4 linked regions of the Drosophila melanogaster genome follow. The protein of the gene in region 1 interacts with the protein of each later gene in a pairwise test. Each region holds a gene or a part of one and is shown in the gene's direction. Other genes may lie near its edges.

Region 1 (8,632 bases):
CCTTCCAGCAGGGGTACGTTGTGGAATCGCTCGTGGCACATTTGCGAGTACCGCTTGAGATAGTCTCCGGTTGTGATGGGCAGCTGGCACTCGGTGATGGCTATCTCTGCCGAGCGCTGGTCCGTGGTGCCCATTACCCGGAAACGCACTTCCTCCGGATACGGGCGGCCAAAGGAGGCGGCTATTTGCCGGGTGACCTCCTCGTATATCCTCTCCGTGTCTGAAACGTGACGGCAAAGCGAGAACTGGGATTAGTACCTGGCATCAACTGGGCGTTCCGCATCAGGATCTCGGTGTTGGCGCGCTGCTGGCGTGCGTACTCCTCCCACGACATCGGCAGCTCGTAGTGCTCGACCATGAACCGGGCCAGCGGTTCCGTCTGCAGGCCCATGACCTGCTCCTTGATCTCAAAGGGATATGTCTTGCCGTAGGGCTCGAGGATCATTTCGGTGGCCACAGTATAAAGGCGTTCGGTGTCTGTTCGGCAAATAGTTAACACAGAAAGCAGATACAAGCACGGCAGCACTCACCCAGCAGCAGACCGTCCATGTCGAAGACGCAGTGCGTCACCTTTCGCAGCACTTTGTTGGCCATCTCGCAGCAGTTCTCCTCACTCTGGGCTTCCGATTATGTAATGTTACAAAGTCAACAAGTTCGTTTCCTAACTGCAACACAGAGGTCATAATCAAGTTACTTTGTTTTTACTGGAACATCCCCCGCCCACACAGGCATGCCCTCCACTTTGACTACGTTTCCTGGATTCGGTGCCTCTTGTTCGGTCGTGTCCTTGACCCAAGGTCGCCGCACCCCATCACCAACAGCAAGGTCAAAGATGGAAGTTGCCCTCATCCCTACGGCCTTGACCTACACGTAATCTGCTTCCGCTTTTTGCAATATCGGGCGTCTCGTACTTTTCCGCCTCTTCCGAATTTTTCCGCGAGCTTTCTGCCCGCCGCTGTGTGACCGTAGCTGCGAAGGCGCAAAAAGCCTAGTCGAGAATAGTGCTAAAAATGGAGGGATTAACTGATAATGCGCACCGACGCAGTTATACTCTTTAAATTACTATTTATTTTCTTTATATTATTACTGTTCCTCTTAAGTTACAAAAATAGGCATACTTCTAATATTGTCAAACTCATTTAAATTTGCCCTTGTTATTTGATTCAAAATACAAGTTTTCCTTTGCCACAACAAACTAACCATATAGAAATTATTCTTTATAAAAATATAAAGGAAAGTTGTAGCAGGAATAGAAATAGAAAGTTCTAAACAACTTGCGCCAAGCGAGCAGAAAATGAAGCCCCAATACCTTTTAGTAAACACATTTTGTCGGAATAGCAAATACTTGTTTTTCTTTTAAATTTATTAAAAAACAAATACATTTTTGATGGTCGAATGTAGTCCACTTGCTTTTTTCTTCTGTAGAGGAGGAATCTGCAAGGGAAACAATAGCAATTAGGATACTGCACTTCATTGCTTCGCCGACGAATAGGTAAGACAGCTAGACACACAAGCTCACCTTAACTTAGGCGCTCAGCAAGCACACACCGCCGGCCTTCTTGATCTTGTCCTCAGCCTTCTTAGAGAAGTACTTGGCCTTCACGATGACGGGGCGGGCGGGCAGGTGACCACGGCCCAGCAGCTTGTAGTAGCCCTGTGGAGACATGAGAAGGACACCAGAGTCAATACAATGGGTTACAACGGGGTGAGAACGGGTGCACATCCTCTTCAAGAACTGCTGGCTTTGATCTGAAAGGCTGTCCTCTACACGGTGAGAGCAATTGTACGGTAGCATTCTGTCCGCCCATCGCCTTGGGTGTATCTTCATGTTGAAAGCGGCAGCAGAGTTCGCGTAGCTGGATGGGGAATTCGGGCGAAACTTACGAATTTAACCAAGTCGATGACGGGAGCCTTGGTGCTCTTCTCCTTCTCCAGCTCGGCGAACTTCTCGGCTCCGACCAGGGACCAGAGCTTGTCCAGGTTGATCTCGGGCCTGAACTTGTGCTGGCGACGCAGATGGAAGTTCCTCATGCCCACCTTGCCGAAGTAACCAGGATGGTATTTGTCGAAGTTGATGCGGTGATGGTGCATGCCACCAGCGTTACCGCGACCTCCGGGATGCTTGCGGTGCTTGCCGATACGGCCGTGACCGTGGCTCACATGACCACGCAGCTTCCTGGTCTTCTTCCGCTTGATATTCGACTGTAAGGGAGAGCAGAAAAGAAACGTGTTTTCATTGAGCATTCCTCAATCATTTTCACCCACGTGCTGGAGGTTATGTTTACTTGCTCCAGTCGCTATGCTCACTTGGCCATTGCAGTCAGTGGGCAGGCATGCTGCGGCACTTTGAGTGAGCTCTTATTTCTATTCCACATCATTCGCCTGCCCACAAACCACATTTTAGGTGCACCACATTTACCGACGTCCACTCACCATCTTTAAAATTGTAGGAAAGAAAGAAGCGAAGTTGGCTGCGGTTGTAGCAGTGTGACCGCCCGGCGGCGATAACAAAAAATACGAAATACCATCCGGACAGAAAACATATACCCCTAACTACCATTTTAGTCTGAAAAAATATCTCGTACACACCATTATATTTAAGATAAATTTAAGTCTATATGCATTATGAAAATATATAATCATGAATAATTAAACATAATACTGCATATATAAGCGTTAAATTGAATTTCACTACAACAATACTAAATAAGTTTTTACATTCATAGGATAAAACGTGTACTTGATTTAAGCGAAATTCTGTAGGCAGTGCCTATACCGTCATGTGCATAATTTTATAATTTCTTATAGATGATTATGGCTTATTATTAAAGTTCATTTTACAGTTCAATAGCGTTCGGCTTGGCTAAAAAAGGGGGAAGTGTAGTTTTTGTTTTTGAAGTTCGCAATGTAAAAAGTTTTGCGAAATTAATAATCGAAAATGTTGCATTGATATCTGGCTATTAACTGGATTTCTTTTCAAATTCGGGGCGTGTATTCGATAGTTGGTTCAGAGCATTGCTAAATACAGTGCTGTATAACGGTCGTGCTGGCATGTAAATATAACAGGTGCTGTTAAGCACATCGATGTTAATTGCCAAAAATTCAAATATTCACATTTCCATTTGGTTTAAATTTTGTATTTAACAATCTAGATTTCCTCCACTAGACGAAATCGCTGATGCTGATTTTCGGGCACAACATTGAAGAACTTCTTGTAGATGTTCTGGCCCTGGCGACCGGCGTAGTTCCGCTGAATCCAGGTGTGGTCCCAGTTGGGATCGATGGCCTCGCAGGTCACATAAACCTTGCCGTGCTCCATGGCGAAAAGGGTTCCATTGCGGCCAAAGCCCACCTTTCAATGGGAAAAAGTATAAAAATATGCCGGGATAACTCCTTCCTGCGCTACTCACATTCAGGCCCGGATGAAAGCGCGTTGTGAGCTGGGTGGCCAGTATTGTGCCCTCGGAGACGTGGTGCCCATCCTGGACGCGCCATCCGCGATGTTTGGGCCTCGCATGGCCCTTCTTATTCCTCGTACTTCCGCCGGTTTTCTTGCTGGCATTGCGCACGGTGGCTAAATGGGATTGAATTGATTAGAATATGCAACCGGTTCGTGGGAAGTCCTTACTCATCAGCGGCTGGTCTGCCTTCAGGCACTGCATGGTCAGCTTTTGCATGATATTAAACGACATATTTGTGATTTTATTCCAGTAGCGAGGTTTGTTTATGCAATTCCAGATGGGCACCAGTGTGACCCCCGAGTTCAGCTAGATCAAGAGCATTAACAGACTGTTGGCCACTGTTGCCAATTGGTGTTAATAAAATCTAGCTTTGTAAATATATATCAAATAAATCTACGTTTGTATTTTCAACAGTATTATTTATGCTTAAATAAACTATCGTCTTAGTCATTAATATATCTGTCACGTGTTTAGCTAATAATAATTAATATTCAAAAAATTTGCTGTAATCCTGTTATAGCTAACTGGACATCACTGCCGCAAGTGGGTGGACTGTTGAGTTTTGAACCTTCAGTGGTAGGGCAACACTCGCCGGAGTGTTGAAAATTGTCATTGTTTATTTTTTCCGGCATAAGCATTAAGTTTAAGGTTTGCCATAAGTATGACGTCGTGGGGCAATATCTGCCGCATCTGCAGCAGCCCCGCAGACTACGAGATATTCGCCAAGATTCCCACGTATTTGCACGGCTCCACAAACGAGTTTCTCAACTGGCAAAAGCCCATAAACGTTCTGCTGGAGGAGACGACGGGCCTGAAAGTAAGTGACTCCATTCTAAAGTAGCCAGATAAATGTTTATATGAGTGCCTCCTCTTTCGACCGACCGCAGAACTCCACGGACGACGGACTGCCACGCAACATATGTGCGCCGTGCATCTCCTATCTCAAGCATGCCGTCACATTCCGGGAACAGTGCATCAAGAACGCGCTGAGTCTCAAGCTGGCGGAGCTCTACCAGCAGAAGAGGGTCAACGTTTCGGATGCGAACAAGATGGACAAGGAGAGCGCCCTCTTCACGGCGGAGGATCTGAATTATGTGGAGCAGAGGCCAGTGCATAATCTTCTGCTAAACAACAGCGCCAACAAACTGGAGTCATCCAAGGACAAGGTACACAAGCGACTGCTCAATCAGACGACTACCCAGCTAGACGGCAATGCTGAGCAGAAGATCCAGTACTTAAACGTGCTGTTCAACAAGCAGCAGCCTCACAACAGCATGCCCAGGCAACCGCGGGATGGCGAACTGCCATCGAGCAGTGGCCAAAATGACGACGAAGATGACGACTATGCGGTGGCCAGTTCCAGCGACGACAACGAGGAGGCGGCCCTGCTGCGCAAGCACAAGAACTGCTATAACTACACCGAGACCAACTTCGAGGAGGACGATCCCATGGAGCAGGATCAGCTGCAGCTGCGCGACATCAAAGTGAACATACCGGAGCCCATGTGGAAGGAGCGCAAGTGTCCGGCATGCTCCAAACGCTTCATGTTCGAGGACTCGCATCAGTCGCATCTGGACAACTGCGTCGAATACCAGTTCGTCACGTTTGTTACCGAGGTGACCAAGTTGCTCGAGATTAGGCGACAGAAAATGGTCTCGCCGCACGAGTTCATCCGCCGCATGATATTCGCTCTGCACAAAACTTGCGCCTGGCTGCAGGAACATTCCATAGACTCGCTTCTGGCCGAGAAGCTCAATCAGGTGAAGGTGTCCAACGGTGAGAAGATAGCTGAGCCGCCAATTCCCATAGATATACCCGATCCCCGGCCGGTGCAGGAACCATCTCTATTCGACTGTGCCAGCGGAACGACGACTCCGATCACGGAGGAGAACAACGTGCTGTACGCCATTGAGCGCTCTGAAAGTTGCCATTCCCAGGGCACGCCGACGGTGAAAAAACCCATTCCCATTCGCGGAAAGGCGGCGCTGGGAATCGGGCTGGACAAGCACAGGGAGAGAGCCACGTTCCTCGAGAAGCTGCAACGGGCCGCTGTCTCTCCTGGCACAGTTTCGCAGGGTCCAGCGCCCGTTTTCTCAGCCCGCTGCGGGCAGTGCAATTTAGAATTTGACTCAGTCTCCGAACTGGAGGTGCACAACCACAATGCCCACAGGGGCAATGAACTGAACGCCGACGACGAAGCCAAAAGGCGTCAAATAATCGCCCTCTTCGAGGATGATATTTAGGTTTTACAAAGTCCTGTTTTTCATGCCGGTGGCTCAATCAAACTAGTAATCATGTTGACCACTTTGCATCTGTGTTTTTGTCGTATTGTATTTATTTATTATTTATTTATTTTATTCTGTTTCCATTAGTGATTTAGTTTTGCTTAGCGGCAATCCATGTTCATTTACAATACATTCTCGAGTACTCAAAAGTCCGTGGCTTTATATTTATATGTACTCTAAGACCAATAAAGAGATTTGCAAGACTTATTCTTAACCATAAGCCTATGCGTATATTTGCAAGCTATTCAGTACCAGGTTGGAATCTGCTACCTTCAAGTGCAGACAGTTCTTGAGCAAGCGCATCGCGTCCAGGTTGAGATCTGGATCTCGCAGAGCGAAGAGCTGGTTTAGGGTTTGCACAAGATTCTGCGGGTCTGCCAGTGCGAATATTAGACTTGTGTCACCTAGGGCTACCAGATTGGTCATTACACGCACGGCGTAGATTAGGCACAGCCGGTCGGCTGGCGATGCTAAGGTGGCTTCAAAGAAACGCACCAGGCATTCGGCCTGTTGAGCATCTAACTTGTGCTCCTGTGTCACTATTTCCAGTTGGTGCACTATGTACATGAAGTACTCGCTGGCAGGCTGGCCGTGGAGCTTCTCAGGCAGATTCTGGCCAATGTACCTTCGATCCTCGTCACTCACATGCTGCGGGCAGCGGGTGGCCACCAGGGAGAGGCAGATGGCCGCATCTTCTTGGCAGCCATTGGGCTCGATGTAGAGCCTCCACAGCTTGGGTACTATTTGCATTTGCAGCAATACGCTGCCGGCCTTGTCGCATGTGCCCAGAACGTTGGCCAGTGTCCACAGGCAACTGCGCTTGAGGCGTTCGGCCTTGCCATCAAGGTAGGTGACCATGTAGCTGCCCGCCAAAGTGACAATCTTTTCGGAGACATGGGCCTCGCCCAAGGAAAGATTACACAAGCACTCCACGGCATCTGTCTGTCGTTGAATGTGAGGTCCTGAAAGTCAAGTCAACCTTTTTATATAAAACTAAAGCTAATGAGGGTGCAGTTGGTTACCAGTTAGCTCCTTAACCAGAACCTGAATGGCGCCAGGAATAGCTGCGAATGCATTGATGTTGTCATTGCTCTGGAGGAACCCCAGCGACAAGCGGCACAGATCCTCGGAGGTGGCGTGCTTGCGACGCTTGATCCTGCTGGCCATTCCAATGACGTCCTTGGTGCCCATCTCAAGAGCCGCCACTTCCTGCTTAACCTGTCCAAGTCCAATGCGCAATGAGTCTTTCGCCTTTATGCGGCACTCAACACGGTGATCCTTGGCATATGCACGAATCTTGTTTCGCAGAAAACTTCCCTCCCCAGTTGTCGTCACAAAGTCCATTTGTTTAAATTTCATGGAATCCTTAGCAAGTGAGCAATATTCCGATAATAATAACAGATTATCGATAACTATGAAAGGTTAACAGCACTTCACTCATCAGCTGTTAAAATTGTAAACAAAAAAGGTACGCACTTGTTTGTTTATATTTTATTTGGAGTAAGTAATGCTTATTTAATTTCAGGTCAATGGTGGTAATCTGAGCCCGGAATCGATGGATAAACATATTCAGTGGCACCCAGGAACCCGATTTTTCATATGTGAATTTATTTTTATACTGGCAAAGAAGTTCGGCGAGGAGATTCATTTCCTTTTTGTGCCTTTTTAATTTAATTTTTCTATGATTTCCACGGAAAAAGTCCAGTGCTCCTTCTGTCCAAAATTATTCACCACTAGCTAGGCGAAAATGTGAAAAAACTATACGAAGATAAATGTTTGTTTTTCCAAAGAAATTTATTTCAATTTTATATTCTTCAACAGGTAAAGGATATCGATATCCGATAAGAATTTTCCCATCAAAACTTGGGCTGACCACCACAGGGCGACCCTTGCAAGTTTGCGTTTATCTCAGCTGTTAAATATGGTAAACACACCTTAGTTTCAAAAATCATCATTTTGATAAATAATTTGAATTTCGAACATCGATAATAAATCGATTTAGCATATGGCCCAGAGAATAGGGTGCCCAGTGTACTGTGCACAATGTGAAGTTTAGCTTATTATTATTTTGAATTGTTCATCAAGGCAATCGCATTAATTTTCAATTAATTGGGATGTATGAAACGGATTCCTAAATTATAAAAGATTGCTTTTCCAGCTATAAGCTATTTAGTATATACATCAGGTAAGTAATATAGTCCTTCATAAAGTTCAGCCTAATAAGTATTGTTTATTACAGGGATAATGGCGGAAATATGCCGAGTTTGTATGGATATTTCTGGTAAACTCGTTAACATATTTGACGCCAGACGAAGAACCAGAGTTTCCATTGCCGAGATGATCGCGCAGTGCACCGGATTCGAGGTCAAACGTGGCGATTTGTTTTCGGAAATGATATGCCCACAGTGCTATGAGGACGTAAAGAGCGCGTATGGGATAAGGCAAACTTGTGAGGAAAGCCACCAGTTCTACTGCCGAGTTCGCGATGAAGGCATCGAGGATGCTTTATGCGCCTTGCTCGAAGAAGAAGACTGGGAGATTTCGGAAGACGAAGATGCGCGGATTGATTCTGCATCCGCTGCTGATGACGATGGGAAAAGCGACAGCAAGAAGGTAGCATTCGAATGTCGAGAATGCCACAAGAAATACCAGCGAAAGGGAACTTTTCTGAGGCACATGCGAACACACATGGACGGACAATCCTTCCCATGCCCCTACTGCAAGCGGAACTTTAGACTTAGAGTCACTCTCAAGGCGCACATGAAGACCCACAATGCAGCGAAACCCTACGAGTGTTCCCACTGCGCCAAGACCTTTGCGCAGCAGTCCACTCTGCAGTCGCATGAGCGAACTCACACTGGCGAACGACCATTCAAGTGTTCACAG
Region 2 (7,132 bases), on another chromosome or scaffold:
ATGTACGTCTTTCCACAGATCGAGATCCCGCCCAAGGCGATCGAGGCGGCCAAGGCCAAGGGCATGGCCCCCGATGTTTTCTACGCATTTGAGCTGCTCGAGACGAGCGGTGAGTTTTCTTTGCTGACCTCGTTTGTTAGTCTCTCAATTTATTGTTTAATTTTCTCCCAGGCATTTGCATTGTTCCTGGCAGTGGATTTGGTCAGAAGCCCGGCACGTGGCATTTCCGAAGCACGATCCTCCCGCAAACGGACAAGCTGAAGCTGATGATGGAGAAGTTCCGTGTGTTCCACGCCGAGTTCATGAAGAAGTACAAGTAGATCAGCTGCCAACTTCCCCGTCCTCGATCCCTGTGTTAAGTGTCAATCCTCCGGCTTAGGATTAAAAATTTAAATTACCCTAATTGTTTTTTTTTTTTCCTCTTTGTTACTGTGTCATAGCTGAATGCTTCTAAGCTCTTCTTTATATGCATATATAGATATATATGAGAAATATATAAAAACATTTTTAAAACCCTATGATTTGTGAACCCAACCCGCGCAGGTTTTATCGCCACGATAACGTTTCCAGTTAGCAATTAACCCACTTAACCATGTAGTCTTTGATTCTTAATTGAACGAAAACTCCTGGCGGAGATTTGACAATAATTTTTGTTAGAACCAAAAGTAGTTTACCATCTTTTGGTCGGCGCATAATTGAAAATTCTGATATTGTTCTAAACGAAAGTTATTTGCATTGTGTATATTTATATTTATCTACACATAAATATATATAGCCCTGCATGTGCTTATCCCCCGCGAATCGATCACGAAAATCATATGATGTGTGTGCGTTCAAGTCATTACTAATTGTTATAGACAAGAAGAAACTTTGAAAATAAATAAATAATTATTATTGTTAAGCCAGCGCTGCGTTAATTTCAATTTGGGCAATGGGTATCCTTTTGTAATTTGTTTTTAAGAAAAGCTGAAAATCCCGACATTCCCATTAAAAACACCCATTGTGTATATTTTCGGTTTTAAATTAGGTTCAATTTATTGATTCTCATTTCACGACTTATGTAACTACTTGCACTTACGCCAAACAATCGCATATAGTACCTTTTTTTCACTTTTCTCTTGACATGTTTTGTGTTGCGACAGATTTAGGGTAAAAACCAAGTGGATAAATAATTTAGGTTCGCGGACATACAATAAATTTACCTTTGACATCCATTGTTCATCGGATGCCTCACTCTTTGTGTGTTGTAGTTGTAGTTGCGCTGGTGGCTTGTTCTTTTTATCTTTTCATTTTCTGAATTAAAATCTACCAAAGTCTTAAGGCCTAAAAACCAATGTGTACCATAGTTGTACTGTGGCTATACTAGCGAACCATTCGGATCGAAGAGATGGCTGGGTTGTGTGGTGGTCTTTTGTGAAGTTGCTCGATACCTTTTTTTTTTTTGTTTTTTGGTTTTGTTCTCTGTGGGGGGGGGGGGGTTATTATATGGAGGGGGACGAATTTATTGAGTCAAACTTCAGAAATCTGTTGAGCCATTTTTCGTCTGGCAAAACAGATCCTTTTTGTCCTCAACTCTGGGGCCGTACTACTTTATGTATATATCTCTGTATATGTATAATATATATATATATCTATATATATGTGTGTGTTGTGGAGTCCAGTTTTGGGCTGCATCCCACTACTACTCTTCTCATCTAATGGCGGTCCCTGGAGTCGGAGCGACTGCGACGATCCCTCGAAAAGCTGCGGCTGCGTGTCCTTGAGCGGCGGGGTGAGCGTGATCTGCAATGAAATGGGTAGCGTTTGGGGAAAAACATATTGGGCCCGGCACACACATACAGGACACAGAAAGAGAGAGGTGAGAAAGAAAGAGAAAGAGAAAGAGAAAATACAAATTAAATAGATTTTGCACCAATGAGTAACTTAACTAGTCGTGTAGTTAGATAACAATTCCTTAAGATACGTAAAGTTGATAAGAGTGGTCTCGATCAAACAACACACAACTTGGGCTGACGGATCTGGTGGATCGGATACGGATCGGAGAGCTGACATTGGAGCTTTAATTTGAGCTGAGCGGAGCTGAGAGCTGGCAGTAATTTTTTTCAGTTTTTTTTTTGGTGGCTGAAGGTGCTTGAAGGTGGTGGAGATATAGCTGATATATATATATATATATATATTTTTTTTTTGCCCCATTAACGAAAGCGTTGGTGTGACATTTACATAAAGTAATTGGTGGTGGTTGGTTGGATTGGTGGCTGATTGGTTTGTTGGTAGGTTGCTTAGTTGGTTGATGAGCAGAGCAGACTGAGAAGGCTGTTGTTGTTGTTGTTGTTGAATTGTAGTAGTAGTAATAGTAGTAGTAGTAGTAGTAGGTTCTTGTTGAACTGTTGTAGTTTGGGCTGTTGTTGTTGATACGATACTGAGCTGATTGACTGTGACTAGGGTGGCTGTGTTGTGTTTCTATTATTATTATTATTTCTTTTTTTTTGGTGTGTGTTGTTGGTGGATATATTGGTGAATCATTCTATTCTGTTGCAGCAGCCGAAGAACGTAGGTCGTATGAAGAAGCAGTTGGTGGGGAAGCATCAGTTAGCAGCAAGAGAGGATCAGGTTGGTGGTTGTGGTTTGGTGGTGGTGGCGGTGCAGCTCCTACCATCCGCGCTGTGAAGTTGCGAGCTTGAAGAAGATTCTGCCCTGCCCTGAACTGCTGATGCTGCTGGTGCTTTGGTCGATTGTTGGTGGGGTCGTTTTGTTGGTGAACTGTCTGACTGTGAGTTCGAGCTGATCGGATCAATGCATATAAACACACATTTACACAATATACTTGTATATTACACACAGAGAGCAGACAATTAGCGCGAACAAGATTATCTCAGTAGATGTTAGGATGCAAGAACAAAAGGTAAAAAAAAAAACAACCATAATTACAATTACGAGTATAACAAACGGATTTTGTTAGAGGCGTTACGTTACGTTTCGTTTCGGTTCGAGGGACAGTGTTGTTGGTGGCGGCCAAAGGTTTCATACTTGCTGCGATTGAAGGAATTAGCATGAAGCAGCCTCAATCTTGGTTTGATTGCAAGGGAAAGGTGCAACTACTGAGTGGTGGAACCAACAAAAAGTCTACCAAAGGCTTTTCAGCCTCGAGATCGATTTGCTGACTGGCTGCCAGATGTTCTTGTTGTAGTAGTAGTAGTAGTAGTAGTAGTAGTAGAAGTAGAAGCTGTTGTTGCAGTTGGTCTTTGTAGCTGTAGCTTGTTGCTGATGCTGTAGCTGCACTAAAGATGACGGATGATGAGGTGGTGGGTGGTTTGTTGGGGACGTAGGAGCAGGCTGAAGACAACCGCACAACTTGGAGACGTAGGAAGTTGACTTTTTGAAGCGTTGCTGGACTGGTGAGTGTGTGTATAATATATATATAAATATGCAATAGATGCATTTTGGCATTTGGATTCTTGATGAAGTTGCTCTGTTGCCGCCGACGATCGGTTCGCTCTGGTTCTTGGTGATTAGTGTGGTTAATGGCTGTTTGTGTGAGTGTGTCTGTTGTGTAGCCTGAAGATGTTGCCAACTAACAGACTATAAATGATGTGGAAATGTGGAATGCACTGTGGGGCATACGACCATCTTCGTTTGCTAAATCCTATTTATATTCCAAAGCAATATTCTGTTATTTGACAAAGAAAAAAGACCAACGTTTAGCAGCTAAATCCTATTCAAAATAGGCATAGATCGAAGATTACTTAAATCGTTTTCTTTTCTTTAGTTTGTAGCTAGTCGTGTGCCCCATAGTGGAATGTATAGTTAGGTGACTGTGGGTGGTGTTCGGTCTGGTTTTGGGTGCATTATTCTTGAAGCTGCGGAGCCGAAGACGTTGCTGATGATTCATTTTTTTCTGTTCTGTTTTTCTTTTTTTTTTTTTTTGCCTGGGTTGAGCTGAACAGGTGGTGGAGGGGGTGTGGTAGTGTTGCGGTCGTTCGGTTTGGTTCTGGTTCTTGGTTTTGTGGTCAGCGGAATATATCGAATTTGTTGAATTTCTGGTTAGGGCCGCACAACAAATTGTTATTGCATGGTGGTGGTGTAGTGGTGGCTGTAGTTGTTGTTGTTGTTGGTGAAATGTGTGTAATAGGAGGAGCAGGATCTGCTGTTGTACTAGTTGTTCTTGTAGTAGCTGTTGTTGTTGTTCTTTTGGTTGTTGTTGTTGAAGGAAGAGGAGTAGTAGAAGTTCTAGTAGTAGTAGCTGTTGTTGTTTTTTCTTTTTTCTTTGTTGTTCTTTTAATTATCATTATTATTATTATTATTGATGTTGTTGTTGTAGTAGTTCTTGTTGTGCTTGTTGTAGTAGAAGAAGAAGACTTTATCCTGCAAAATGATTGTGAGACCACATTAAAACTGGCTCCAAGCGATCGATTTACTTTGTTTTTACTAAGTTTTCTTGTATTTTCTTTTCATTTTTCTTGTATTTTGTAATTTTACTAAAAACAACAAACAAAACGTTTTCTCTAGTTAAAGCTATACTCTTTGAACTTTAAACTATGGACCTCGGGGTGCATATAATGAGCAATGAAATGTGATACTAAAACAAGATTCCCCTTAAAAAACAAAATACGAGCTAAAAAGAATCGATTGACGTAGCAAAAGCAACCAGGACTGTCGGCCACGGACGCCACTGTGTGCGCGCGGTAGGACTGTTCTTTTTCACGGACGCCACTGTGTGTGTTTATGTATGGCTAACAGTGGTGTCCCACCGTATGTGTGACTGTGTGTATTTTGGCTGGCACCGCTTTTGTATGTATACGCGAATCGATTTTTCACATGCATACATACACACAAGCACACACGCTATATAAATATGTATACATATGTTTATTTATATATATATTTTTGCATACTTTTTTGCACATAATGGCAAAAATTATGATTTCATAATCTCGAGAGAGGGGTAGTGGTAGTAAGTGGGTGCTTTGGTTGGTTGGTTAGTTAGTTTATCTGGTTTATTCTGGGGATGCAAAATGTAATGCTTTTGTGCCGTACTCACCTATAGCGTCCACCGCCATCGCCAGCCCTTCCACCGCCTCCAGCACGGGCGCCACTGCCACCGCCGCGGCCGCCGCCACCGGATCCGCCTCCACCACCGCCGCCTCCACCGCCACCGCCGCGACCCTCTCGTGAACGGCCTGATGACATTTCGACACGGATGCGGGTGCCACAGCAGCGGGTGCCGTCGAGGCCACGGGTCGCATCCTCAGCGTCGCGACGATCCTCGAACTCGACGAAGGCGAAACCGGGCGGATTGCGGGCCACCCAGACGTTGCGCAAGGGTCCGTATTTGCTAAAGGCGTTCTCGATCTCGTATTTGGAGGCCGAGGATCCCAGATTGCCCACGTAAACTTTGCAGGCTAAATCCCATTCACGGTAGCGTGGCATTATGTATGAATATGTATGTGGCTGGAGGTGCTGCTCCTCCGGTTCTGTAATGGATTTTTGGTATTTGTTGTACCACTGGACTTGTCCAAAGTCAATTTTCCAGTTTGTTTTGATGCTATTCCGAGGGAATTCTCCTTGGTTTTTCAAAGAGCACACCCACAAAGCAGGAGCAGAAAAAAGTGTTTGTGAGGAAAAAAAGATGGCGTGCCCTCCAGTGTTGAAAAGTGAACGAGGTGCAGTACCGTAAAGCGCTGACCATAAGATATGCGACTATCGATATTTTATAGGAATATCGATCTTTGAAATATCATTTTATTCTATTTAATAGTTTAAATTAAATGTTTCACAACCTAAGGGTACTTAGTTAAAGTATTATTATAAATATACCTTAATTTATGTATGGATACATTTGCTTAATTTCATATACCCGATGTTAAGAGTAAAACTAGATGTGGTTAATTTTTGAGTCGGCCGAACCAGATACTTCACATAACATACTTCAAAAGATAACATATCGATAAGTCGAGAACACGGAATGGCTTTTTAACATCTGGCAACCCTGCACACCCAGCTGTCCCTATTATATAGGCACATTATTATTGGCCCTTTTTCGTTTCGGCAATTTTGAATAAAATATCGCAGAACAAAATGGCTAAGACACCGGAAAACATAGCCATCGATCAGTTGGACAAGGATCAAATTAAGACGGTAAGCAGAGTTGACACGAAGATACCATCTCATGCCAAGGACCGGCGGTGCCAAGTGATGCAATGTGGTTTTCATTTGATATGTTTTCGGTTCTAACTTTCAGTTTTCCGACTTCCTAATGTCCTACAACAAACTGTCCGAGACGTGCTTCACAGATTGCATACGCGACTTTACAACGCGGGATGTTAAGGATTCCGAGGTGAGTGCCCGTGGGGAAGCTCCATGTGGAAATCAGCGATTTCAATATGCCCATCCATTTCACAGGAGAAGTGCTCGCTGAACTGCATGGAAAAGTATCTGAAGATGAACCAACGCGTCTCGCAGCGTTTCCAGGAGTTCCAGGTTATTGCCCACGAGAACGCACTGGCCATGGCTCAAAAGACTGGCAAACTTTAGGTGTTATAGCTGTTACAAACAATCTTAACTAGTTTAGACAACTGAGATGATGCATTTTCCTGCATTTGTCAAAATAGCTGAGTAAAGAAACGCGTTGACGGAATCCCGACGATTATTATCTACTATTCGATTATTGTGGTACTTTATTGCTGATTGATTACGGCCTAGAGATCTTGTTTGAAAAAGACAAGTGTGGATCATCAGTTTCGAATATGTTCCAGCTGAGTAGCAGCCCATCTTTTTCGTTTTAGCACTTCAGCCTCATGACATTTAAATGGTAGAATTGGGCGCCGCAGCTGCTTACGTGCTAGATGTGCCTACAATTACGTTTAAGTCACGTTAAGACAGGGCCGTAGTCGCATGTGCTCCGTGGCGGATGTGCAACCGATATATCGGTCTTCGGTATCCCGAACACCGGAGCCGACTACGGCGATCTCTAATCTAGGTCTAATGCATAGAGGCCATCGCCTGTGGCCATCTACTCAATACTTAGGGCTACACAAGGTTCGCCAATGCGTGGTTCCCGTTTTCCGGCTGTATATTCAATCGGCTCAATGACTCGTGGTGGCGGCCTCCGACGGAAAGCCCTCTGCCTCTGTGA
Region 3 (9,192 bases), on another chromosome or scaffold:
GCTCCGGCAAGTCAAACATCTTGGATAGCATTTGTTTCGTACTGGGAATTAGTAATCTCCAGAATGTGAGTACCAATTGGATATGTCTGGGGCTGGACTTCAACGCTTATCTCTGTGCTACCAGGTGCGCGCTTCGGCTCTACAGGATTTGGTGTACAAGAATGGGCAGGCGGGCATTACCAAGGCCACTGTTACCATTGTGTTTGACAACACAAATCCCGCCCAGTGTCCGCAGGGCTACGAAAAGTGCCGGGAGATCTCTGTGACGCGCCAGGTGGTTGTCGGAGGCAAGAACAAGTTCCTCATCAATGGCAAGCTGGTGCAGAACAAGAAGGTGCAAGACTTCTTCTGCTCCATCCAGCTAAATGTAAACAATCCCAACTTCCTGATCATGCAGGGCAAGATCCAACAAGTGCTAAATATGAAGCCCAAGGAGGTGGGTAGCCAGAAAAACACAACCATAAATAGTTCTCCATCTAACATAGATATTTCCCCAAGGTTCTGTCAATGGTAGAGGAGGCAGCGGGAACCAGTCAGTACAAAACCAAGCGAGATGCCACCAAAACCCTGATTGAAAAAAAGGAGACCAAAGTGCGGGAGACCAAGGTCTTGCTCGACGAGGAGGTGCTGCCAAAGCTGGTTAAGCTGCGCCAAGAACGCTCCGCCTACCAGGAGTATCAGAAAATCTGCCGCGACATAGACTTCCTCATCAGAATTCACATCTCCGCCAAGTATCTCAAGCAATGCGAGACCCTCAAGACGGTGGAGGCTAATGAGCACAAAATCGAGGATCGCATAGCGAACTGCAAGGCCACTCACGCCAAGAACCTCGCAGAGGTCGAGAGCATTGAAAACTCCGTGAAGGAGATGCAGCAACAGATCGATGCAGAGATGGGTGGCTCCATCAAAAATCTCGAAACCCAGCTCAGCGCCAAGCGGGCACTAGAAGCTACCGCTACGGGTAGCTTGAAGGCGGCCCAGGGAACGATTCAGCAAGATGAGAAGAAAATTCGCATGGCATCCAAAAACATTGAGGATGATGAACGAGCCCTGGCAAAAAAAGAAGCGGACATGGCCAAGGTTCAAGGCGAATTTGAAAGCCTCAAGGAGGCAGATGCCAGGGACTCAAAAGCCTATGAGGACGCCCAAAAGAAGCTGGAGGCTGTCTCGCAGGGACTCTCCACCAATGAAAACGGAGAAGCCTCAACACTGCAAGAACAATTGATAGGTATGTCTGTCGGGGATGAAACTAAATCATTTTAATTACCTATATTCCCGCTTTAGTGGCCAAGGAGCAGTTCAGCGAGGCACAGACCACCATTAAGACCTCAGAGATCGAGCTGCGTCATACGCGTGGCGTATTGAAACAGCGTGAGGGTGAGACCCAGACCAACGACGCTGCCTATGTAAAGGATAAGAAGCTGCATGATCAGTTGGTGGTTGAGATTAAGAACTTAGAACGGCAGCTACAAAGTCTCGATTACGAGGGCGGTCATTTCGAGAAGCTAAAGCAGCGACGCAATGATCTGCACATGCGAAAGCGCGATCTGAAACGAGAGCTGGACCGCTGCAATGCCTCCCGCTATGATCTGCAATACCAGGACCCAGAACCAAACTTTGATCGGCGTAAGGTGCGTGGTTTGGTAGGCAAGTTGTTCCAGGTGAAAGACATGCAAAACTCCATGGCTCTAGTCCAGACAGCCGGCGGAAGTGTAAGTTGTTAAATCTGATTTGAAAAGTTATTTCTTTAATCACGAGTTCTATGTTAGTTATATAGCTACGTGACGGACGATGATGTGACTAGCAAGAAGATCTTGCAGAGGGGCAATCTTCAGCGTCGTGTCACTTTGATTCCCATCAACAAGATTCAATCTGGTTCGCTAAACAGAAATGTGGTAGAATACGCTCAAAACAAAGTGGGCGCCGAGAATGTCCAATGGGCCATGTCACTGATTGACTATGACCGCTATTACGAGCCTGTCATGAAGTTTTGCTTTGGCGGAACACTTATCTGCAAGGACCTCATTGTAGCCAAACAAGTGAGTATATATATTTCTTTTTCTGTACATCTTTTAAATGCATTTTTTTTATCTAGATCAGCTACGACCCCCGTATTAATTGTCGTTCTGTGACTTTGGAAGGAGATGTCGTCGATCCCCATGGCACAGTGTCTGGAGGTGCTGCTCCTAAAGGTGCTAACGTTCTAGAAGAATTGCACGCAATTAAGCAAATAGAAAAGGAGTACAGGGAGATCGACTCTGAGATAGCCCAAGTGGAAAAGCAAATTGCGTAGGTGAACCAGTAACTTCTCATTGCCAATACTTACGCCTATCTGTTTTTAGATCCATTGAAAACCAGGCCCTCGCGTTCAACAAAATGAAGGAAAATCTTGACTTGCGACAGCACGAGCTAACCATGTGCGAGAACAGGTTGGCCCAAACAACCTTTCAACAGAATCAGGCTGAAATTGAAGAAATGAGGGAAAGGGTCAAGACCCTAGAGCAGCAAATAATTGACTCCCGTGAAAAGCAGAAGACCTCGCAAGCCAAAATAGTGGATATCGAGGCGAAGTTGGCAGATGCAAAGGGTTATCGCGAGCGAGAGCTGAATGCAGCCACCAACGAGATCAAGGTGACCAAGCAAAGGGCGGAGAAATCTCGTGCGAACTGGAAAAAGCGAGAGCAGGAGTTCGAAACTCTTCAATTGGAAATTACTGAGCTGCAGAAAAGTATCGAAACTGCAAAGAAGCAGCACCAGGAAATGATTGATAACCTCGAAAAGTTTAAGGCCGAGCTAGACGCTCTGAAAGTAAATAGCTCCAGTGCCGCGTCCGAGGTGACGGAGCTCGAACAGGCGATTAAGGAGCAGAAAGATAAACTGAGAGATCAGAACAAGGAGATGCGAAATCAGTTGGTCAAGAAGGAGAAAATGTTGAAGGAAAATCAGGAGATTGAGCTGGAGGTGAAGAAAAAAGAGAACGAACAAAAAAAGATCAGTTCGGATGCCAAAGAGGCAAAGAAACGGATGGAAGCCCTTGAGGCAAAGTATCCGTGGATTCCGGAGGAGAAGAACTGCTTTGGCATGAAGAATACTCGGTACGATTACAGCAAGGAGGACCCCCACGAAGCAGGCAACAAGCTGGCAAAGATGCAGGAGAAAAAGGACAAAATGGAACGCACTCTCAACATGAACGCTATCATGGTGCTGGATCGCGAGGAAGAGAACTTCAAGGAGACCGAGCGCCGGCGAAACATTGTGGCGATGGACAAGGAGAAGATTAAGAAAATCATAGTGAAGATGGACGAAGAAGAGCAGGATCAGCTGAACAAAGCCGCTACCGAGGTGAACACGAACTTCAGTGGGATCTTTAGCTCCCTTTTACCGGGTGCTGAAGCGAAACTCAATCCCGTCCATACCAATGGCTGTCTGACCGGTTTGGAGATTAAAGTCGGCTTCAATGGCATATGGAAGGAGAGTCTCGGTGAACTTTCTGGTGGCCAGAAGTCCTTGGTGGCTCTGTCCCTTGTCCTGGCCATGCTTAAGTTCTCTCCGGCTCCCTTGTACATTTTGGATGAGGTGGACGCTGCCCTGGACATGTCACACACCCAAAACATAGGTAGTATGTTGAAGCAGCACTTCACCAACTCGCAGTTCTTGATTGTGTCTCTCAAGGATGGTCTCTTCAACCACGCCAACGTCCTGTTCCGCACTCTCTTCGAGGAGGGTGTGTCCACCATCACCCGGCAGGTCAGCAGACAGGCGACAACCAACAAACGCTGAAATGGAACTCGTTTACTTTCTTATCACTTAATAAAACTTTAAAAATACCATATAAAACTGTTCTTATCATTTTAATTGTGAATTTTTTCAAGTTTTTTTAATTCGCAAAAAAGGTTGTGTATTACAGCAATATACTTATTTCAAGAGCCATCGGTCAATATACTTATTGCTACATTACTTAAATCAACGAAATAAGTAATTTAACTACAAATTTAATTTTGTAACGGTCGTTTGCGCATCAGCTGATTTCCAACCGGGCGGGCGAAACGTCAAACTGGTGAGACCGTCAAACGCACACACACACATACGCAGCGGACAGAAGAAGAAGAACGAAAGGCAGCAACAGCAATGTTTGAGGGAGTGAAAAATTAAACAAAAGTCCCCGGAATTCAGCAGCAAAAACTCGACGGCGGTTGAAAAACAAAACATCAAGATTTCGAGCCAACGCAGACTGCTTCAAAAGCTCACCATGGTAATTTGCAAGGTTCCAAAAATTACGAATCGTCCGATTCTTTTACCACACACACACACGACTTGTGCGTGTGTGTGTGCGGGGAGCAGCAAAATATTGTAGACACCGCTGGCATTTGGATAAACAATAGCAACAATTGGAGTGGTGTTCGAGGCGGGAAAAGCACCGATTTGTGGAATTTCATTCATTGGAATGTGGGATTGCTAATGAACCGTTTTACTCTTCCAGGATCGAGTGACCAAGCCGCAGAAGAAGATGCTCATCACACTGCTGCGGGAAACCAAGTACATGGAGGGCAAAAAGGAGAAGGAGTGGTATTGGGAGAAGATCCAAGCGGCCCTTAATACTATTGGTCCCAAGAAGACGATTATTCAGTGGAAAAAGGTGCGTTTACTTGCCTATTAAATCCAAAAATAAACTTTAATCTTCTTCCAGTGCTGGCGCGATATGCGACTGACCACAAGGAAAAAGCTGGCGGAACTGAAGCGCTGTCAACTCTCTGGAGGATCTCCACCACCGGGGATCGAACTAAACCAGGAGGACAACGATATCATCGACATTGTGGGCACCGAGTACTTCTACGAGGAGATGAATGGTGAGCTCAAGGCGGAGAACTTCTTGACCGGCTTGGACTACGCCCCGGAGCATCTGTGCGATGCTATTCTCACGGCAGCAGTGGGCCATCACCAGCACAATATGCAGCACCAGAAGGATCCGCAATCGCATGCAGGGCAACAGCAGCAGCAGGATCATCACACCAACGATGGCGAAACCAATGATGCTCCTGGATCAAGCAATGGTGGCTCATATCAGGGACACCCAGTATCCCAGTTGCAGGCGCACAATGGCAGCGGTGGAGGAGGCGAGCATAGCGGCGGTGGTCAATCCCACTCCGGAATGCTCCAGCACCCTGCTTTTCACGGTGGCTTGCATCCACACCTGTTGAGGCGCCAGCATGGAAGTGGATCACTATCCAGAGAGTCGCCATTTGAGGAGAAGCTTCTGCAGTTCATGCAGGATGCATTTCCAAAAAAGAGCAAGAAGCGCAAGAACCGGGATCCCGACAAGCTGTTCCTCTTATCCCTGTACGAAGAGATCAAGAGAGTTCCGGAGGAGATACGCCTTGATGTAAAGTCCGAACTAATGCAGATACTGAAGAAGTATCAGAAGAAGTCGCCTGTCAAAGCGGAGAAGCCCGCGCCCTCCTCTACGTCAACCTCCTCAAAACTCAGCTCTAGCAGCAGTGGCAGTAGCACGGTGACTACTCACTTGTCCCACAGCATGTACCAGTTGCAAAAGAAATACGAAAAGGGCGAGCGTGAACCATCGCCTCAATCACAGGTAGAGCGAGTAGCATCTGCAGGCGCAGTTGCTGTGCCCATTCATACCTCCCAGCAGCTGCCTCTTTTCCAACTTCAGAAGAAGTACGAGGAGAACAGCGTGGAGAAGGTTCATCAGCAGCAACAGCAACAGCAAAGCGAGCAACGCAAGCATGTGGAGGCCGCTCAGGCCCTTCATGCTGCCCACCAGCAACCGCCTCCACCGCCACCCAATGAGCACCTGCACCACCCCCAGATGGCCCACAACATCATGTTTCCGCTGGGACAGCTTCGCAACGAGCAGCCGACCGCACAGCAACACCAGCATGGCCACAATCCCCACCAGCAACAGCAACAGCATCCCCACCAGCAGCAGCAACAGGGACAGCAACACCATCCGCCAACGATCTTCGGATCGACCGCCAGCGAACGGCCTCCAATGTCCTACGAAAATGTCGGATGAGTCCTGAGCCGTCTGTGGGAAGCCACTTGTGGAGCACCACGCCCTGCGACGGTGTCCCCCACGACGGCAGACGCGCACAGCTGTTAGCCCTCGATTTAGACGGCAATTCGTAGGTCTCATTCTTATGCTAGCCTATACCTAAGTACACATTGCTCACTACACTACTACAGTCAAAAATGGTGCAGTCAATGAGGAAGATACTCCTGATGTATGCCATTTTGTAGTAAGTGGATGCCGTGATCCTCATGTAAATGTTCCCGTGGCAATAACAGCGTAGCTCAACTGTGACTCAAGTTCTCAATAGATCGCGACGCATACATTTTTTCGGTGTAAATACAAATATAATTGAATCTTAAAAACTGTGGATGTTTTTTAGTTCAAGTAAAATGATTGATCCCCAACTTCTGGCAAGAGCTCCCTATTCCCAGGTTTTTGTTTTTCTGGCCAAATCGGAGAAGTCATTGGCTTAGCTCTGAGGTGGAATCCACAATCTTGTTTGTTTGGACTTTGAAAAGCTGTAAATCCGGCAAGCGGTCCGTCGTTAAGCTGTCTTCAGGAATATCTAGTCTTCATCTCTCGTAACGCGATAACGAAACCCACAGGGAGCACGCCATATCATAAAGATAGTCAAACAGCTGACTGATCCGGTCTGCCTAAGTGCGAATTTCAACTGAGCGCTGCCGATCGCCGAACTCGTCGTTGTCTGTCGCATGTTGGGCAGGTTGATGAGCGATCACGAGCCGAGCTGCAGCATAGTCCGCCAGATCTGCGGCGCTTATCAGTGGCGTCCGGCTGGGATAAAGAGATACAGATACAGATACAGGCGGATCGACTGGAGGCAGACTGGGTCTGGCATTCTTTTCCGGCAGCTGCCAGCAGCAGTTGATCGTCAGCGATCGAATCACAGGGATTGGCGGCAGCTCCTGCAGATGCAGAGTTCAAATTTCCAGTGAAGTTCTCAACCAGTCAATCCATTCACCATGGGCCAAGGTACGAGAATGATCTGAAATTCGTGTCTTACCTCGAAACTCGAAGTCGAAGATCTTGTTTAAGACCTCCAAATGAAGAACAACCACAAGTTGGGAGCTCGCATTTCATGTACTCTACTTTGATCTTTTTAGTCGAGGCGCGCACTGTGCTGTGGTACATGACATTCATCGGTTTCATCGTGAACTACATGATCCGGATCAATCTGAACATTACCATTGTGGACATGATTGCCGGGAAGGGTGCTATTACCTCAAATGAAACCCACGAGAACTCTACGGACTTGGCTGCCCTTGCGGAAATGAATGAACGATTTTCGCTGGAGCGTTGGTTTTTGGACTGGGCGAATGTGAGTATCAGATCGCTGAATCACTGGTTAAGTGCTTAATGAAAGCCACAAAGTGACGGAGCTTGTGCAACAACGGGGCGTATGAGTAACGTGTGTGTGCACTATATCTTTGGCAGATTCCGTACGAAAAGAATGGATTTCACTGGAACGAGAAGCAGCAGGGCGCTCTGTTGGGATCATTTTTCTGGGCCCACTGGACACTGCAGATTCCCGGCGGCATCTTGGCCACCAAATATGGTACTAAACTGGTGTTTGGTTGGTCCAATGGCATCGGTGTGTTCTGCTGTTTCCTTATACCAATCGTATCGTACTGGAGCTACACGGGCTTGATTATCCTGCGAGTATTCCAGGGGTGGATAACGGTAAGGGATCGTTGAGCAGATTTTGATGGAAAGTTTAAATCTTTAATTTTAAAGGGCTTGGCCTGGCCATCGATGCACGTGCTCACTGCCAAATGGATTCCGCCCAACGAGCGCAGCAAGTTTGTCAGTGCTTACTTGGGCAGTTCTGTGGGCGTGGCCCTGTTCTATCCGATCTTCGGCTACATCATCGATTGGACACGGTGGGAGTGGGTCTACTATATCTGCGGAATCGTGGGCACTCTCTGGTTCATCGCCTGGCAGTTCCTTGTGTTCGATAGTCCCGCTGAGCATCCCCGCATCGCTGACTCGGAGAGAAAGTTCATCGAGAAGTCCTTGGGTGCCTCCATTCAGGGCAGCAAGGGACCCACACCCTGGAAGGCGATTGCCACCTCTCGTCCCGTTTGGCTGAATGTGGTCGCCCAATGGGGTGGCATCTGGGGTCTCTTCACTTTGATGACCCATGCGCCGACTTACTTCAGACTGATTCACCACTGGAACATTCGAGCGGTAAGTGTTTAATAGATTTTGTAGGTCAAGAGTATTACACATTGCCTGCTCCTTTTCAGACTGGCTTCCTGTCCGGACTGCCGCATCTTATGAGAATGCTCTTCGCCTACGTCTTCTCCATATTCGCCGACTATCTTCTGCGCACGGATAAGATGAGTCGCACAAATGTCCGCAAGTTGGCCACATTCATTTGTGAGTATTACTTCTGATTGTTTAGATATTTTGTACAGCCTTAATAGCATTTAAACTCTTTTTTGTTCTAGGCTGTGGCACTAAAGGCTTAATCGTATTAGCACTAGCTTACTTTGGCTACAACGCGACGGCTGCCATCGTGTTGGTCACAGTGGCCACCATGCTTCACGGCGCCGTGTCCTCGGGTCCCTTGGCCTCCATGGTCGATCTGTCGCCAAACTATGCGGGCATTGTCCTGGGCGTGAGTGGAATGATTGGTGGAATGCCGGGCTTCATATCGCCCTTCATCGTGGGCCAACTTACTCACAATAATGTAAGTTGTATTTTTGCCTTTGAAAGGAGTTATTTATTCCATGTATAATAATCCCTTTTTAAAGCAAACCATTGATGCCTGGAAGAATGTGTTCCTGCTCACCTCGTTGATGTTAACAGGCAGTGGCATCTTGTATGTGCTTTTCTCGGAATCCAAATTGCAGCCATGGAACAGTGGCTGTCACCAGTTGCCTGATTCCGGGCTAAAGGAACTTCAGAATCTGGGACGCGATCAGGACGATGAGGAGGAGAAGAAGCCTCTTAAATCTGACCATGATAAGGAAACCCCTATAGTCGCTGAACAGGAGACCAAAACAAAATCTGATTGCGATGAAAAGTGACATGTGTGGTCGCACTCTGTTTAATTGTCATAATATCGTGTAGATTATGGCAACGAACAACGTCTGATAAGGCTTATCGTCATTTTGTGTAAATAACTACCCGTGAAT
Region 4 (7,490 bases), on another chromosome or scaffold:
GGCTGCATCGTCATCCGAAACACCAATATTGACAAAAAAGGAAAAACTTAAAACACAGAAATCGACCAAGAAACCGGAGGGCAATAAGAAAACGGAGAGCAAGAAAAAATCTTTAGTACAAGGCCCTCAAATGAAAACCCAAAAATCCGAGGAGGCTGTATCGGGCCCAAAAATTTTGAATAAATACCTAAAATCGGAAACCGAATCCTCAAGGAAAACAGTTTCCACAGTAACAGGCCGGAAACAAATTGGGCAACTGGAGGTTTTGAAGAAACCGGAAAGCAGAAAGTCGGAGGAGTCTTTAGTAGAAGCAATTTCTCGGAAAAAGCAATCCCAAGTCCAACGGTTAAGTAAAATAGATGGTAGAAAATCTGAAGGAACATCTTTACCTCAACCAGATGTCTCGAAGTCTGAAACTGCTTTGAAAGCAGCTTTGCCCAAGGAAACAGAGTTTCCAGTTCAAGACGCAGAAATCGAGAAAATGTCTAAAGGTCGCGGACACCAAAATGCGGTCAAAAACACCAAAACGGAACAGCCCAAATCGAAGCCCAAGACTGAGGTTCGTTCCCTGCAAGCTGAGGCTGCTACTGAGCTAATGGATTCGATGGACTCTCAATCAGATGTATCCGATATCCGCGCAACATTTCCCGAATCCCAAGGAATCTTCAATGTGCCAGGTCACATGACCCGAGCTATCAGCAGCAACAGATCACTGGCACCTACACCAACTCCCATGTCTGACAGTCAACGAAATGCTTCTAAGGAGCGCTTTACGCCTGTTTCGGACCAAAAAAAACCAATCAGGGAATCACAGACTTTATCAAAGCGTCGTGCACGAGGTGGAAGGAACCAGCCACTTGTTTCAAAAAGGAAAGCGGGTGAAGCGGAAGACGGTACAGCGGTGATCAATCCCAAGAGACCCAGAGAGATGGATGAAGAGGACCACCCACAACAGAATGATCATGTCCAAGAATCTGCATTTGCTGCGTTCCCAGTAAAAATAACAGCTGCTTCTTCTGTTATTCCCCAAGTAGTGCGTTCTACGGGTAATACAGTTCCTCAAAATATTAGTCCCCGCAAACTTTGCGTGAAAATAAATCGGAGGCCCTATAATAAGTGGCTTCGGAGCACGCAGGAGAGGAATGAAGAACAAGAAGGATCTCGTAATGTAACGTCATTACCACTGCTTGGTGAAACCTCGGAAACGGATTCAGCGGCGGAGTCGATGTCAGAATCAATTCTGCAATCCCAAGTACAGTCGGAGCCTGCTATTCAGCCACTGCCTGCATCCCAGCCCGATTCTTGTACATTACAGGCCTCAGATCTCCGAATAAGGGAAAGCTCAGCTCAACTTGCTCCAATTGCAGCTTATGATTCACCGGCAGCTAACGATTCATCGACATCACCCGCTTTAGACATCGCACCCGAAAGTGCACAGACAGCTAAAGCAACCTTGAACACTGCTCTCTGTCCATCGACTGAAAAACATCTTCCTGACGAACCAACGTTGCTGGAAAGTTCCAAGAAGGTTGCAGAACCGCAGAAGCTACAAACGTTTCAAGCCAAATGTTTGCCTGTGCCAATTCCAGAGGTAAAGTCAGAGCCGGAAGATATCATGGATGAGCATTCACCTAATGAGCCCATGCCTATGGTTGCTGCAGCACCAGCAACACCTCAACCACATGCGATTACGGAAGACGCTGGGCCCGACACTATTCAAGTCAACACCTTGGGTGTTTCCACTTCATCTAGGCCGCTTGAGTTACATTCAATTCCCTCCGCCAGTGACCCTGACGGAAACCCCAATGCCATTGGGCAGACCAAGATGTACTCATTTCTCTACCCGAAACGTTACAAGCAATCCTATGACGACGTCGGTCTAGACTTCTGCTGTCCAAATCTCGATGGACCAATGCGGGCTATTGATTTTACTCGATTGCATTCGAAGGCCGAGGTACCGGTGCTGGAAATCCCGCAGTTCCTGGTTATAACCACCAAGTTTATCTCTAAGGCGGATAAGAATATGCCAAGTAAGGTGCGGGCAAAGCTGGAATTACTGGACAAGTCGAAAGAACGGGATTCCAGTAAACTGACCCCGACGGCTACCACTCCGACTGCTGATCCCACCGGTCCTTCATCCTTTTCACCTGCTCCCGCTTCGGTTGGTCCGGCAACTCAACCGTTTCCATCGATTATACAGAATTTGCTATCGGCTCCCCTACCTGATCCAGGTCTATTTAATCATCCCACAACCGTGGACCCATCTACTTCCACTCCCGTAGTTTCAGGCAGTTCCTCTTCCACTACCATTTCGGCGGACTTGGATTCTTTAAGCAAACAGTTGCCACGTGGCACAAAACTGATCAAGAAGTCAGTGCAACAAGTGGCTACCAATCCCTCATTAGCCGGCACCTCGATGGTAATTAATGCGTCGCCGTCCTTTATTCAGTTACCTCCGATTTGCCCCAACGACAAGCAGCGCGTGGAGTTGCAGGCGAGGGTTCAAATGTTTGACTTGGTGCTCCAGACCCTCAGCCGGCGGGCAGCCAACTTATCAGTGGCCGAGCGACAGCGTACCATTGAGGAAATTGTAAGGACCAGCTCGTTAATGGCCATCGACGTGGATGTGGGTACAAAGCTTTTGGAAAACTATGTACATTACTTAAACAAGGCTACCAGCACAATGACTCCTCTAACCCCGGCCCAAATCAACTCGAGCTTAGGCGCTTCCACCAGCTCGACGCTTTCCAAAAGCATAGCCACCTCCGACATCCCACAGCAAGGGAAGAAAATATCTGCGGACCATGCCCAACAGCGGAGTTCTCTCCCCGCTACCATTCCCCTTTACGATGGGGGCAGGAACACACTTGGCTTTCCGTATAGCTGCTCGAAATCGACGGCAGGGCGAAAGTCTTCATATGTTGCCACCAGCACGCCTGTGAAAGCCTCCACATCCCAAGCAGCAGCAGCAGCAGCTCTAGGAAACGCTCAGCCAAGATCCACGTTGGGGATCCCGAAAAGTGTTCGGGAAGACGCTAGTCAGGTAGTTATTATTTACGACAAATATTTATGTGGTCATTAATAAACAATTTATTGTTCCTAAACAGTTCGTTAATCTCAACACAACAGTGTGTATGCCAGCACCAAGGACGAATGCCAAGAAAAAACCAGGGACTTCGGGCCCTTTAAAGTCGATGAATTCTTCACCAGCTGTGCAGAAACCGGCGCTGTGCAAACAGCAGACGGCGCCGGCAAGAACTCTGTCCAAGAGCACAGTCTCATCCGTTGCACGAGCGAAATCAACAGGGTCTTTAAGTGCAGTGTTGGGTGAGACTCCTGCTGACGAATTCGTATCCCCCGCCGGAATGAGTCTGAGTACCACCGGAAATCCGAATGTCTTCATCATTAACCACGCGGTGCAGTCAGAGGAAAGCATCCTGCCTGACTCCAACAGCAGCGTAGGGCACATGGAAACGACGGTGATCAAAGGCGAGCTGGATGATTCTGCGGAGATTATTATATAGCAGGGCAAAGACTATAAACCAGTTGGAAAGTATTCTAAGTTACTTTAGCACAGTTAATTAAGAGTTAATTATTTCGTTGAACGCAAAATCATAATTTTGTAATTCTGAAATGAAGAATTTGTTAAACCTTACGCAGCATCGTCATTTTTTTTTTTTTTTTTTGAAATAAATGGTTAAATATTTTATTCAGTGTGGGACTTTCAAGTAAATATCTTATAGTTATCATTGCATATTTATTAAGTATCCAAATAAAATATAAATATAAACATTCTAACATTTTTTTATATAAGCCGAAACGCATAAATCGTGTAAAATAAGAAATAAGAAAAATTACATTTCGTTCGAAGCTTTTGGAGCCATTGGCGAAATCTTAAAGCTCTTGTGAAATATTACAGAGCGATAAGTATAAAAGTTGCGCAGGGGAAAAACCGTTTCTATTAACAACAAATTTTTCAAGATGACAACATCTGCTGTTGAAGCTCCCAATAGTAAGTTTAGTTAAAACTTTACAGAGGCATATTATAATGATGCACATATGTATATAATAATCTACAGGTGCATATCCCGATTTAGAAAAGCGACTGGAAAGGTATTTGCGAAGTGTGTTTTGCCTAAAGGAAATCGATACTAAAAATGAGTACATTCCAACCGAAGTGGAGTACTTTGGAGTTCTGAGTTTAAGCGATGTTCGAGCGCCTCGCCGAAAACTGTGGTACATGTACTATGCGACAACAGATCAGGTGGACAAAACTGTGGATCAGATCCATCGTAAATATGGCCAAAAGAATATGTACGAGCTGTTCAGAAAACCGGTATATACAGGGGCTGGAATGCGATCCCGTGTTAAGAACCACTTTAAAGGGCTTAAGTGGCACGTAAAAGGAAACATTTTGGAAGCCCCGCTAGGTAGCTCCCTTAATGATGAGAAAGTGGTTAACACAATTGCAGATTTATATCAGAACGAAAGGAGAAGATACTTCGATTACCTTATGTCTAGGAGTAATCTGTATAAATCGTGTACATATCGAAACATAAATGCATAAAATATTTTCATTTATGTATAAGACTTTCTAGAATAAAGCTTTAAAATAATAAATGCCAATAAATGCTAACCAGTATTCTTTTAACGCTTGTTGAGGTAGGAAGGCAAAATTGCCGCACACTTATCAATGGGCAAAGCCTATGAATCACCTTAAGTTTTCATCTGATTATATTTCTTAATAGCAGGGAATATTAGCAACATGGACGATAAATTGGAAAAGTACTGGAGACGTCTATTTTATATGAAGTCAGTTGCAGAACCTACGTCGTTGGATGCTGATACGATAGAATATTTCGGAATATTCAGTATTGACGAACCAAATGTCGCTGCCCAAAAACGGTGGTACATTTATTATGGCCTTAGATTAGAAAGGTTAAAGGTTCTGGAAAGGATTCGAAAGAAATATGGCAATAGGAATGTCAGAGAAATATTTCAGATCGCCACATTCAGCGGAGTGGGATTTCATAAAGTCGTCAGAGAATATTTCTCCAACTTAAAATGGTTCACAAGCAGAAATCAATTGGAAGCTCCACTAAATAGTTATTATAATGATGAAAGACTAGTGAAAACTGTTTCGGACTTGCATAACAAGGAGCAAAAAAGAATCTTTGACTATATAATGATACAACACGCCTGGTTTGAGCGGTATAATGATCAAAAACCACCTCCTGCTAAACATTAAACTAACTAAAAACATCGACTTACAGTCGACATCTGTTGACTAAAAGCGGCATGTGTATTTGTTGATAGGGGGTATTATTATACATTTTACAACCTATTGGTCAAGTTAAATGATTTATAAAAATATGTCGAATAAAATATATACACACACAAGTAGCTTGCGGTTATAATATAGTAGTACATAATAGTATATACCTTGGAGTCTAAAGACACAGTCATCCGATCATCCTAATCAACAAACATAAACACCCTAGTTGTCTGCATTAATAGGTATTAAAAAGAAACAAGCGCATTAAAAGCTCACTGTTTTTTGATAGGCCACAGGGTTGCTTCAAAAAGCTCTTTTGTTGTGAAATTGGAAATCGTAAACAAAACGAAACAAACTTTATACAAATCAGTTGAAATCGTATTTGTTGGGTATTTAATAAGAGTGCGTAGGAAGTTAACACGCATTCAGAAGTCAGAGAAGCAAGAGTCACCTCGTTATTAAAATATGACAACGAATTCAGTAACTGATAAGAACACGGGTAATTAAAACGGCAAATTATTTATTTGGAACATCAACGATGATTAACAACCGATTCGCAGAAGGAGATTACAACCTGGATGAGGAAATCGACAGCCATTTGAGAAAATTGTTCTGTCTAAAACCAAAAGCTGAAACACCCAAACTCAATCCCTACATAGTAGAATTCTTTGGAGTTCTTAGCTTGACAGATCTCCGTGCCCCACAAAGAAAACTATGGGTCATATATCACGCCAAGCAGCCTGATCTGGACAAGACCGTTGATGAGATCCACGAGAAGTATGGCAAGAAGAATATGTTTGATCTGTACCGCACACCAGTTTTCAGTGGAGTTGCTCTGCGGGACAGTGTGAGAAAGCACTTCTCGAACCTAAAGTGGTTTACGACGGGAAATCTCCTGGAAGCCCCACCTAAAAGCCACTTCAACGACGAGCGAGTGGTGAAAACCATCACGGATCTGCATCATCTGGAACACCAGAGACTATATAATTATGTGATGGTGAAGAATATGTGGTCTATGCGGTATCGCTAAACTAACCTGTGATTTAGGATTAAATTTGTATATGACTATCTAAAAGCAAGAATAATAAATTGTACTATTACAAAATCCATATAACATAATGGTTTGCTAACCAATCAAATAGTATTGTTTTCTTGTAGTACAAATTTTGTTTATTTTCCTATATTTCGTTGAATAAAGTACATAATAATTATGCTGATTTAATTTGTTAAATATATTCGATAACATTAAATAAATTCCGCTTGTGTTTTTTTTTTCTAAATGGATGACAACGCCGCATAAGGGTTAAAGTGCCAATCGATAACGCACGTCCTCACCTATCGCCACCCCTGTTGAAGCGTGCGTCTTTCTAAACGCAGACAGAATAAATAAAACCTGCCAAAGGCTATCAATTAATTGGTAAACACTGATTGGGTGTGCAATATAGCAGGGAATCAAACCCTCAAAAATGGTAAGAACGGCAATCCAAATAGTGTGCACCCATTCATCTTCTTTTTTCGCCACCATTGCTCCGATAAGCGAAGTTTCGATAGGTAAGCAAAAAGCCAATGGATCGGGAGCCACTCAGTAGCGGGCGTCTCCATTGCAGCGCCAGATATAAACACAAGCGATCGGCGTCATCATCGTCAGCGGGGACAACTTCATCCGGACACAAGGACCGCAGGTAAATGTGTACACACATATGTGAGACGACCCTAAACGATACCTCTTTTGACATGAAGCATCGAGTAGTTTTGACTGGCAGTTTGGAAAAAAGGTTCAACTGTCATAGGGCCCTTTCATTTGGATTTGCCCCCTCAGCCGATTCAGCTGGTGCTCTTGCCAAGAAAGTTAAAACCAAAAATCATTCAAGCCGATTTCATTTCATTGGAAGAAACCAACCAACCAACCAACCAACCAACGAACATCACTATGTAAGAACCCACCGAAGCAATCATTTTCATTCTACGTCCAACTACCAAAGAATTTGGCCGAAAGAGGTCGAACCCAACCGTAGCATTTGTCAAGTCACACAAATTTTCCAACTGTCAGTTACCAAGGCGTGCAAGAACCACCCGAAATCCACACGAAATACAAAACTTTTCAAGACCCTCAAGAACGAACCGCAAGATAATCTTATTTCATTCCATTCCACATCGAATCAAGGTCTGACTACGATTACTGTGGCAGTCGCCGGCACCAGCGGTCCTCCTCTCG

Evidence for each region.
Region 2: the proteins of CG15435 (region 1) and Tim9a interact in a two-hybrid assay, tested with the Drosophila melanogaster proteins (one large-scale study listed by BioGRID).
Region 3: the proteins of CG15435 (region 1) and CG10209 interact in a two-hybrid assay, tested with the Drosophila melanogaster proteins (one large-scale study listed by BioGRID).
Region 4: the proteins of CG15435 (region 1) and CG12868 interact in a two-hybrid assay, tested with the Drosophila melanogaster proteins (one large-scale study listed by BioGRID).

What each region holds. Positions count from the first base shown.
Region 1 is NT_033779.5:4,455,856-4,464,487, forward strand, and holds CG15435 (uncharacterized protein), read left to right. Parts: upstream 1-3,873; 5' UTR 3,874-4,122; coding exon 4,123-4,278; intron 4,279-4,348; coding exon 4,349-5,704; 3' UTR 5,705-5,891; downstream 5,892-8,632. Other genes in the region: Gs1l (GS1-like), read right to left, coding at 259-477, 531-594; RpL27A (ribosomal protein L27A), read right to left, coding at 1,526-1,654, 1,885-2,202, 2,434-2,436; mRpL27 (mitochondrial ribosomal protein L27), read right to left, coding at 3,149-3,352, 3,411-3,574, 3,629-3,677; CG15443 (uncharacterized protein), read right to left, coding at 5,969-6,708, 6,769-7,105; Paris (parkin interacting substrate), read left to right, coding at 7,991-8,632.
Region 2 is NC_004354.4:13,379,262-13,386,393, forward strand, and holds Tim9a (Tim9a), read left to right. Parts: upstream 1-5,948; 5' UTR 5,949-6,075; coding exon 6,076-6,135; intron 6,136-6,238; coding exon 6,239-6,334; intron 6,335-6,399; coding exon 6,400-6,531; 3' UTR 6,532-6,632; downstream 6,633-7,132. Other genes in the region: CG1640 (uncharacterized protein), read left to right, coding at 1-109, 172-320; Rbp1-like, read right to left, coding at 4,008-4,362, 5,039-5,427; Ype (yippee), read right to left, coding at 7,083-7,132. UniProt on the Drosophila melanogaster protein: Mitochondrial intermembrane chaperone that participates in the import and insertion of multi-pass transmembrane proteins into the mitochondrial inner membrane.
Region 3 is NT_033778.4:14,843,260-14,852,451, reverse strand, and holds CG10209 (uncharacterized protein), read left to right. Parts: upstream 1-4,085; 5' UTR 4,086-4,249; coding exon 4,250-4,252; intron 4,253-4,480; coding exon 4,481-4,636; intron 4,637-4,687; coding exon 4,688-6,034; coding exon of another isoform or gene 6,035-6,121; 3' UTR 6,122-6,388; downstream 6,389-9,192. Other genes in the region: SMC2 (structural maintenance of chromosomes 2), read left to right, coding at 1-65, 125-436, 499-1,228, 1,285-1,712, 1,770-2,039, 2,096-2,289, 2,343-3,780; NaPi-T (Na[+]-dependent inorganic phosphate cotransporter), read left to right, coding at 7,015-7,024, 7,156-7,370, 7,487-7,732, 7,787-8,239, 8,299-8,431, 8,503-8,744, 8,809-9,084.
Region 4 is NT_033778.4:14,603,451-14,610,940, reverse strand, and holds CG12868 (uncharacterized protein), read left to right. Parts: upstream 1-5,643; 5' UTR 5,644-5,740; coding exon 5,741-5,774; intron 5,775-5,835; coding exon 5,836-6,305; 3' UTR 6,306-6,392; downstream 6,393-7,490. Other genes in the region: Su(var)2-HP2, read left to right, coding at 1-3,043, 3,108-3,524; CG33468 (uncharacterized protein), read left to right, coding at 3,982-4,012, 4,080-4,567; CG33469 (uncharacterized protein), read left to right, coding at 4,766-5,248; tra2 (transformer 2), read left to right, coding at 6,842-6,957, 7,440-7,490.